Nothobranchius furzeri: one gene and its partner. The protein of the gene in region 1 interacts with the protein of each later gene in a pairwise test. Links are inferred from orthologs where the notes say so. Each region holds a gene or a part of one and is shown in the gene's direction. Other genes may lie near its edges. The genes, in order: phf1 and pdlim7.

Evidence for each region.
Region 2: the proteins of phf1 (region 1) and pdlim7 interact in binary tests that used the Homo sapiens proteins (3 or more experiments, as listed by UniProt). The two-hybrid records come from large-scale screens. The link is inferred for Nothobranchius furzeri from reciprocal best matches to the Homo sapiens genes PHF1 and PDLIM7.

The regions. Positions count from the first base shown.
Region 1 is NC_091745.1:62,283,552-62,287,378, reverse strand, and holds part of phf1 (PHD finger protein 1), read left to right. Parts: intron 1-1,462; coding exon 1,463-1,541; intron 1,542-2,613; coding exon 2,614-2,729; intron 2,730-3,827. UniProt on the Homo sapiens protein: Polycomb group (PcG) that specifically binds histone H3 trimethylated at 'Lys-36' (H3K36me3) and recruits the PRC2 complex. Involved in DNA damage response and is recruited at double-strand breaks (DSBs).
Region 2 is NC_091741.1:103,108,895-103,112,721, reverse strand, and holds part of pdlim7 (PDZ and LIM domain protein 7), read left to right. Parts: intron 1-2,515; coding exon 2,516-2,631; intron 2,632-2,934; coding exon 2,935-3,021; 3' UTR 3,022-3,827. UniProt on the Homo sapiens protein: May function as a scaffold on which the coordinated assembly of proteins can occur. May play a role as an adapter that, via its PDZ domain, localizes LIM-binding proteins to actin filaments of both skeletal muscle and nonmuscle tissues.

The DNA.
Region 1 (3,827 bases):
TTTTCCGGGGAAAAATTGAATCCAAAACTCTTATCAGTCTTTCTTGAAGTTCGTAGAATCCTTGGAGCAGAGACTTCTCTTCGACACAACAAAGCTACTGGACACAAAAATCTGAATTTTATAACATTTAATTAACAATTTGTCAAATGAATAAACAGTGGAATAGATGAATAATAACCGTGTGATATGATTGAAGATGGATGTGTTTGCATGTGATGGAGGATGTATGAATGGGGTCCTTTGTTCTCACAAAGGAGTAGTGTGTATGTGTGTGTGTGTGCGTGTGTATGGATTCAAAATGGAGTCTTGAATACAAGATGGCTGACCCCTTTGTCTGGCTAAAGTGTGGGTGGCAACTTGCACTTTAACTTCCAAAGCACTTAGAATCAGTAGTAACTTAACCTTAAATCACTCAAAACATTTCAAAAGATCATGAAACAACACAAAAGATTAATCACAAATTAATATCTTTTAGTTTCAGCCTGGCCATGACAGAAACCATTTTAAGATACCAAACAATGATCAATAAGCAGTTTATTCTTCAAAATGACCCGACGGACGTGTTTGGGACGAAAGAGGAAAACACGAAGCTACTTTTAAGCAATAGACGCGGTTTATTGCTTATTCGAGACTATAGAGGAAACGGGAGAAGGAAAGAATGAGAGAAAGAGATGAGTTTCTGATCACCAGAACAGTGAAGCGTCCCTCACTGTTTTGATTTGACGGTTCTCCGTGTTTCTCCGCAGCTTTCAGCGTCATCCGCCGGTTTGATGCTTTCTCCGTTGTTTGGCTCCACGAGTGTTTCTCCACGGCTGGACACAAAGAAAACGAAGTTCCTTTTGGGCTGAGTTTGACAACTTACAGCGTTTCTGAGAGCTGGATGGAGTTGTTGTTTCCCTCCGCAGTTCTGTGTCCTCAAACATCAGCTGGAGGGGAGCAGAAACGAGCAGATCTGATGGGCTTGCAGTTTAGTTTCCAGCAGTTCCGTGGCTCAACTTGGCACTTAGAGCTTCCGCGTGCTCAAAGAAGTCGGAGCGTTCGACAAGCGTGTCCTCACCGCCAGGTATCCTGGGCAAAAGAACAAGGTTTCTTTGTCTCTGCTGAAGATTTATGGTCTTAGTTTGCGGGAAAACTCCACGGCTTCCCGCACATGCGCAGAACGTGTTTCTGGTACTAGGCGGTGACGTCATCACAATGCTTCCGTGTGCAAAGCATCATGGGAAATGAAGTTTCTTGGCGCTGATGTGATTATTTGCTTTTCAGAGCAATTTAAGCACAGTCATTTTGGAGAAAATCACTGCATAGTAATTTCCTCATGAGGTCAGACCCTCAACAGATCAAAGGAAATACCCTGACATGTTAGAACCACCATCAGCAGACCCTCATGCAGCCATGATGAGAAATCAAACCCATCCAGAGAGGAAGGTGTTTGCTAATGTATGCGTGTGTTTTCTCCCCTCAGCCCATTGTCACTACCCTGCCAGAGAAGAGTTGGAGGGCCGGAGTCTCGTAAATCAAAGCGTCGCATCATGGAGACACAGGTCAGCGCCTCTGTCTCAGGAGGAGGGGGGTGGGGGTCTGGGCCACTATTCCTGGCTTACATTTTCTTCCTCTTATTTTTTTTAAATGCACCCAGGTAAACATCCTTGTGTGACCCAAATAACCCGTCATTCTCACAGAGCCGTCTCCTTCAGCCTTGCTGCTCCTTTCACACTCCGCTGCCTCTGTGTTTGTTCTCTCCTCCCAGCAGGAACCTTAAAGCCTGCTAATGTGTTAGAGAACACAAATAGATTAAAAGTAGCTTTGAGAAACGTGGTGGCGCTCCGCTAAAATGTATAATTCAGATCCAATCTTGCTAAAACCTGCTCTTGTATTTCAGCAACACCTGCGATTCAACGACACATTTATCAGCATCATCAGAGCCGATTCCCAGCGGACGGCTCTGAAACAAGCAGTCTCACATGTGCTGGTTACTATTTTTACTCTGCATTCTTAAGCGTGAACGTTCGTCGTGCTTTGTTCCTCCTACACATCGCTCTGATCTGTGTATGTGCACGTAGTGAAATCCTGGAACAATACGCTCTGCACTGCTCCTGTTTTTCTCTCCACTTTGGCTCATCCAAGCTCCATTGTTCTCCTCTGACGGATGCTAATCTCAGTCTGTCTTGGAGGAGTAGGTCTGAGGAAAGTGAGATGGGTAAGAATGCTGATATGCGGAGTCTGGGATCACTTCCAAGTGCACTTTGCAGTCAATTACATTTTGGCCAGGTGGCGCTGGCACCTTGACAGCGCTACTCTGACAGAACGTCTCTGTTTAAAGGTGCAGACATAAACCGAAGCCTCTGATTAATAATCTCCCATCATAACCGCCATGCTACAGAAGTGGCTCGGTGTGCTGCTGTGTGGTGACCACCTCCTAGGTGATGCTTTTACTTTGTATGAGTCAGCAGCAGCTTCCTCACTAACCCTTTGGGCTGTGGACAGTTTACAAAAAACACAAAATACCCCAAAACCTGAACTTGACACTCGAGCGAGCACAAAGGTAACAGTTTTGGAGGGACTGATGATGTTGGTTCAGACACCAGCTGATCCCTGTGTCTCCCCTCTGCCCAGACCTGTCAACCCCCGGTTACTGCCAACCCTGTTGAGCTGCTGCCATGTTGCCATGGCTACATGGGAGGAGCCAACCTTTACAACTCCAGGAAGTCGGAGGAGGAGCTTAACATGTGGTAAGGGCTGTCTGTACAGGTTGTTTTTGCTTTGTTCTCTAATATTATTATTTATTCTTATTTTTTTTCACCAGCTGAAGGTTAACCACAACACTTTGTTTTGAAATATTACTGATATGTGATCATTTCTTATCTTATGTTTTTTAACAACACTGGAAAAAAATAAATAAATACAACATACCTGAGTGTGGCTCACTGCAGCTCACTACTGAATGCTTTTGTTTAAATATTTATGTGGTATTTATTTTCACAATAACAAGAAATGTATTTTTTGCATTCCTATAAAACATATTTTCCAGGTCCACTTACATTTCAATTAAAGCTACAACCCAGAGTATTTTTTTCTCAGTGTCACCATCTAGAGGCTCACAAGTGTATCTCACATTTTTTCTCACCATTTTTGTATTCACAGCCAAAATCAATGCCTCTCGTTCATGAACGTGCACCTCTAGCTGGATAACAGCATTAAAATGCACTGTTATATTACTATTCTCACTTTATACTGTTCATTTATAAATTCCTATGTACAGTTCCTTCTAAAAAAAATTAGCATATTGTGATAAAGTTCATTATTGTCTGTAATGTACTGATAAACATTAGACTTTCATATATATTAGATTCATTACACACAACTAGGGATGCCCCGATCAGGTATTTTTGCCCTCGAGTACGAGTACGAGTCATTTGATTTTGAGAATCTGCCGATACAGAGTCCCGATCCGATACTTTTGATACATAAAAAATAAATAAATAAAGAAAAGGAAGAAACAGTTCCATAATGTTCCTTATTTTTTATTTAATTCACTTTTTATTTTAATCTGTGAGGTAGCTTGAACAATCAATTAATAAATAACATAAATTCTTCACTTTTGGACTTTATTGCAAATTTAAAAAGTCTTAATATAAAAACAGATAGCACTTCAACTTAAAATACCTGGCAGGGGTCTATTTTGCCTCGGCCCCCAAAATGCTTAGATACGTCCCTGGGCATGGGATGGAGTTTTGAAGATGATCTGAATTGTATCAACTATATAAATACTACATGCTGATAAATTATTGCCTTATACAGGTACAAATGTGTAGTGGGATAAATGACCT
Region 2 (3,827 bases), on another chromosome or scaffold:
TGTAGAATCTAGTCGCACTAATTAGCGCCAATGGAGACGAGCTCTGGTGTAACAATGAGAGGTTCAGTCATGACACTCTATAGACCGCCTGATGCTGACGAGGGGATTTCTCCTGTCAGTGTGATAGGAAGAGGTGAGCTGCTGCTAACCCTAACCCAACAAGCTTTAGTTCATAGAAACACGTTCTATGCCCAGACTGTAGTGACTTGTTATTTATAATGTTATAATTGATATTAAGTGAATGCACAAAACCCAAAGATAATAGAAAATACGATAAAATAAGCCTGAGTATTTTCTCCCACAGCTCAGCTCTGATATAAACAGATGTCTGCTTAAACTGGACAATATCAAATATAAAAAGTATTCACAAATAACTAATCTTTTAATAAAAAATAATAGTAATCATTTTTTATTTTAATGTAGATTTTATTTCATTTCTAAGGTTTGGATGTCTGTGAACATTACAGAATATTCTGATTGGTGTAAAGAATACATGATAATAGTATTAACAGGTCTGGATCTAAAGTGAGTCGGTCTGAGGTATAAAACTCTGCCCTGAGCCTAAAGCCCTGCAGATATATTTAGTTTCTATAAACATCAATAACAAACAAGTAACAGCAGCTTGATTCAACTTTGTTCCTTAAATTGAGTCACATAGTTTTGCAAGTTCTGTACACTCACACACTCAACAGCAGCTCTGCAAGATGATTGGTTATTTTGGTAACTAGTGACATCAGTACTGTTCTGGTACTGAGCAGCATGAATGCATCAGAGGATTTCACTACAGTCAGTGAAAGCTTATTACCATGCTGCAATTCTAACATTAACATAAATTAAGAGTTTTATCAAAATAAGCCTCTCATAACGGTTTGTTAACTGAAAGTAAATGGTTTGTTGCTGATTAACCCACATAACTAAGTAGCTCAAATCAATATGTGGCTTTTAACAAGAAGGATAGAATGGATGTTATTGCTTAGCTAGACTCCAGGGGAATAAGGACAAAAACCCAGATTAGAGTCATTATTCACCCTGACCTGAGCTTCTCTGGACATATTGAGGCAAAACCTAAATCAGCGTTTTATCACCTTCATCAAATATCAAGAGTCAGAGGTCTCATGTGCAGACCAGGCTTAGAGAAATTCATTCATGCTTTTATTTCTAGTCAGACTACAGCAAAGCAACCGCAGCTTGTTCAGAACGCTGCTGCTAGAGTGTTAACAAGAACTAAGAGAACGGAGCACATCACTCCTGTTCTTAGATCCCTACACTGGTTACCAGTAAACTACAGAATATATTTCAAAGTGCTCCTACTAGTTTATAATCACTCAATGGCATCAGACCAAAATACATGTCAGATCTCATTCTGTGTACACACCCAATAGGGCTCTGAGATCCTTAGGGAACAATCAGCTGGTAGAACCTCGGGTCAGAACCAAACATGGTGAAGATGCATTTAGCTACTATGCTGCTCACATATGGAATCAGCTTCCCCATGACCTCAGATCTTCCCCAACCCTAGTGCTGTTTAAAACTAAACTAAAACCCTAATGCACTCATCAGCATTTTGAAATCATTGTTTATGTTGCATCATCTCCACTGTAACCTGCATGTAACTTTGTCTTCTCCTTTAGCCCTAAACTGTAATTCTATCTGTGTGTGTTTTAATCTGTGTTTTTATATCATGTCCTGCTAATTGTAAAGCACATTGAATTGCCTCTGTTTTAAATGTGCTCTATAAATGAAGCTGCCTTGCCGTTATTTCAGAGTGTAGTTAAACACGTCTGCCGCATTGCTGTGGGCATGCATGCTGTGAGCCTGTGTCATGTTTTTCATCTACTGCAATGTGTCGAAAGTCAGTTTATTCCGTACATTATTTATTTTGGCTATTGTGAATAGCGTGTGTGCTCTTCCATTATACTGTAGATGATTTGTTTATTTTTTGAGGTAGGAGTGGAGGCTCTGATGTGAACTGCTGCTTTATCAAAGCAGAAGCCAGTAACCCGAGTCCTCATATTCTGAGTAATGCCTTCAGCTCTGATAAACATTTTGCTGCCTCAGCATCTTGAAGGGATTGTACAGCTCTCACCCCCCCCCCCCCCCCCCCCCCCCCTTCAGAGTGAGCATTATAACCCAACACTTTCCCAGAGTTCTCATGATGAAAGAGTCCGGCAAAGCAAGTCAAGTATTAGGAGCAATTTCCCCTCGTCCTAATCCTCCCCTTAAACTGTGGGAAGGAGCTGCTGCTGCACAGTGAACTCCACACATCCCCGCTAGAGGAGCTTGTCAAAATTAGTGCAGCTTCATCCCTCATCACCACTTCATTTTGGGCACTGGAGTGGCTTTGTGTTGGGAGATTTCATCTTTTAACTGCACAAAGTCCAGGCTGCTTCATATTCTGTTCATCAGAACTTCCTGTAGGGAACAGATGTGAGCAGAGGTCACAGAGACGTCTCCACCTGATCATTTGATAAAACAGATTTTGAATGTGAATAATCTGGTTGTATTTCCTCTGCAGACTATGAAAAAATGTTCGGCACCAAATGCCACGGATGCGACTTCAAGATTGATGCCGGTGATCGTTTCCTGGAGGCCTTGGGCTACAGCTGGCATGACACATGCTTCGTCTGTGCTGTAAGTCATTTTGATAAATATCCTTTCTTTTGGGCTCTCTTTGGCCTGTATCTCTTGTGTCTGTCGCAGTACACCTGAACAACCTGCCTGGTACTGGGAACCACAAGCTTCCATTTCTCCTTTAACCCCTTACCTGCTGTACACCTGTTTCTCTGTGAGGAGTGAATACAATCCAAATAAATAATGACTAGGTCTGGTCTGCTGAAAACTGTGCAAATTCATGTAGGCACTGGTGAAGCCTGATATCTGCTCAGTCTTGGTTTCTCAATCTGTTTCTCTGTCTGTCTCTTTTCATCGTTAAAGCTCTGCCAAATCAACTTGGAGGGGAAGACGTTCTACTCCAAAAAGGATAAGCCCCTGTGCAAAGGCCATGCTTTCGCTCAAGTGTAAGAGAGCCAGCTACATCTTCAGAGGAAGAAACGCTTCTCCCTCCACCTCCTTTTTATCCCTCCCCACCCTCTGACAAACTCTACACCTCCCATTTTGCCAGCCTCAGAGTTCAGCACAAACGTCTTTCTTCCACGTTGCAGACTTTTTTGTACTCAAGACTTATAGCATTATCCACTTTTATGCTTTTTGTGTATCACTTTTCTCACTGCAGAACCTTTGCTGTTGAGAAGAAACATGGTGGCTGGGTTTCTGCTCAAGTGGACTCCCTCTTCACCAAAAAAAAAAAAAAAAATATATATATATATATATATATATATATATATATATAGTGAAGAATTGATCCTCTTAGATCTTAAACCTAAATAGGTGTAGAAATCATTACACTGTCAGATTTGAGTGATAAATGAAGAACATTCACAATCCTGCAATGAGACAAATTCATTGAAACTGTGTGAAATATTTAGGTGTCAAACCATCCCAGTGGCGTCTCTGGCATAATTTGATAGGTGGGGCACAAAAACACCACAGCTATGACACACACACACACGCGCACGCACACACACACACACACACACACACACACACACACACACACACACACGCAACTAATTTATGCATGCAATCTGACTTTGATCCATATTATAAAAACCTCAAAAACAGCACTAACCTACACAGTGGAGATACAAATATTTAAATTCAATTCAACAATATCCCTTTCAGATATGAGATTGCAAATAAAGGGTCACTCACCAGTGTTTACTTCTCCAACAGGAAAGATGCGCTACGGTCTTTCATCTGAACACACT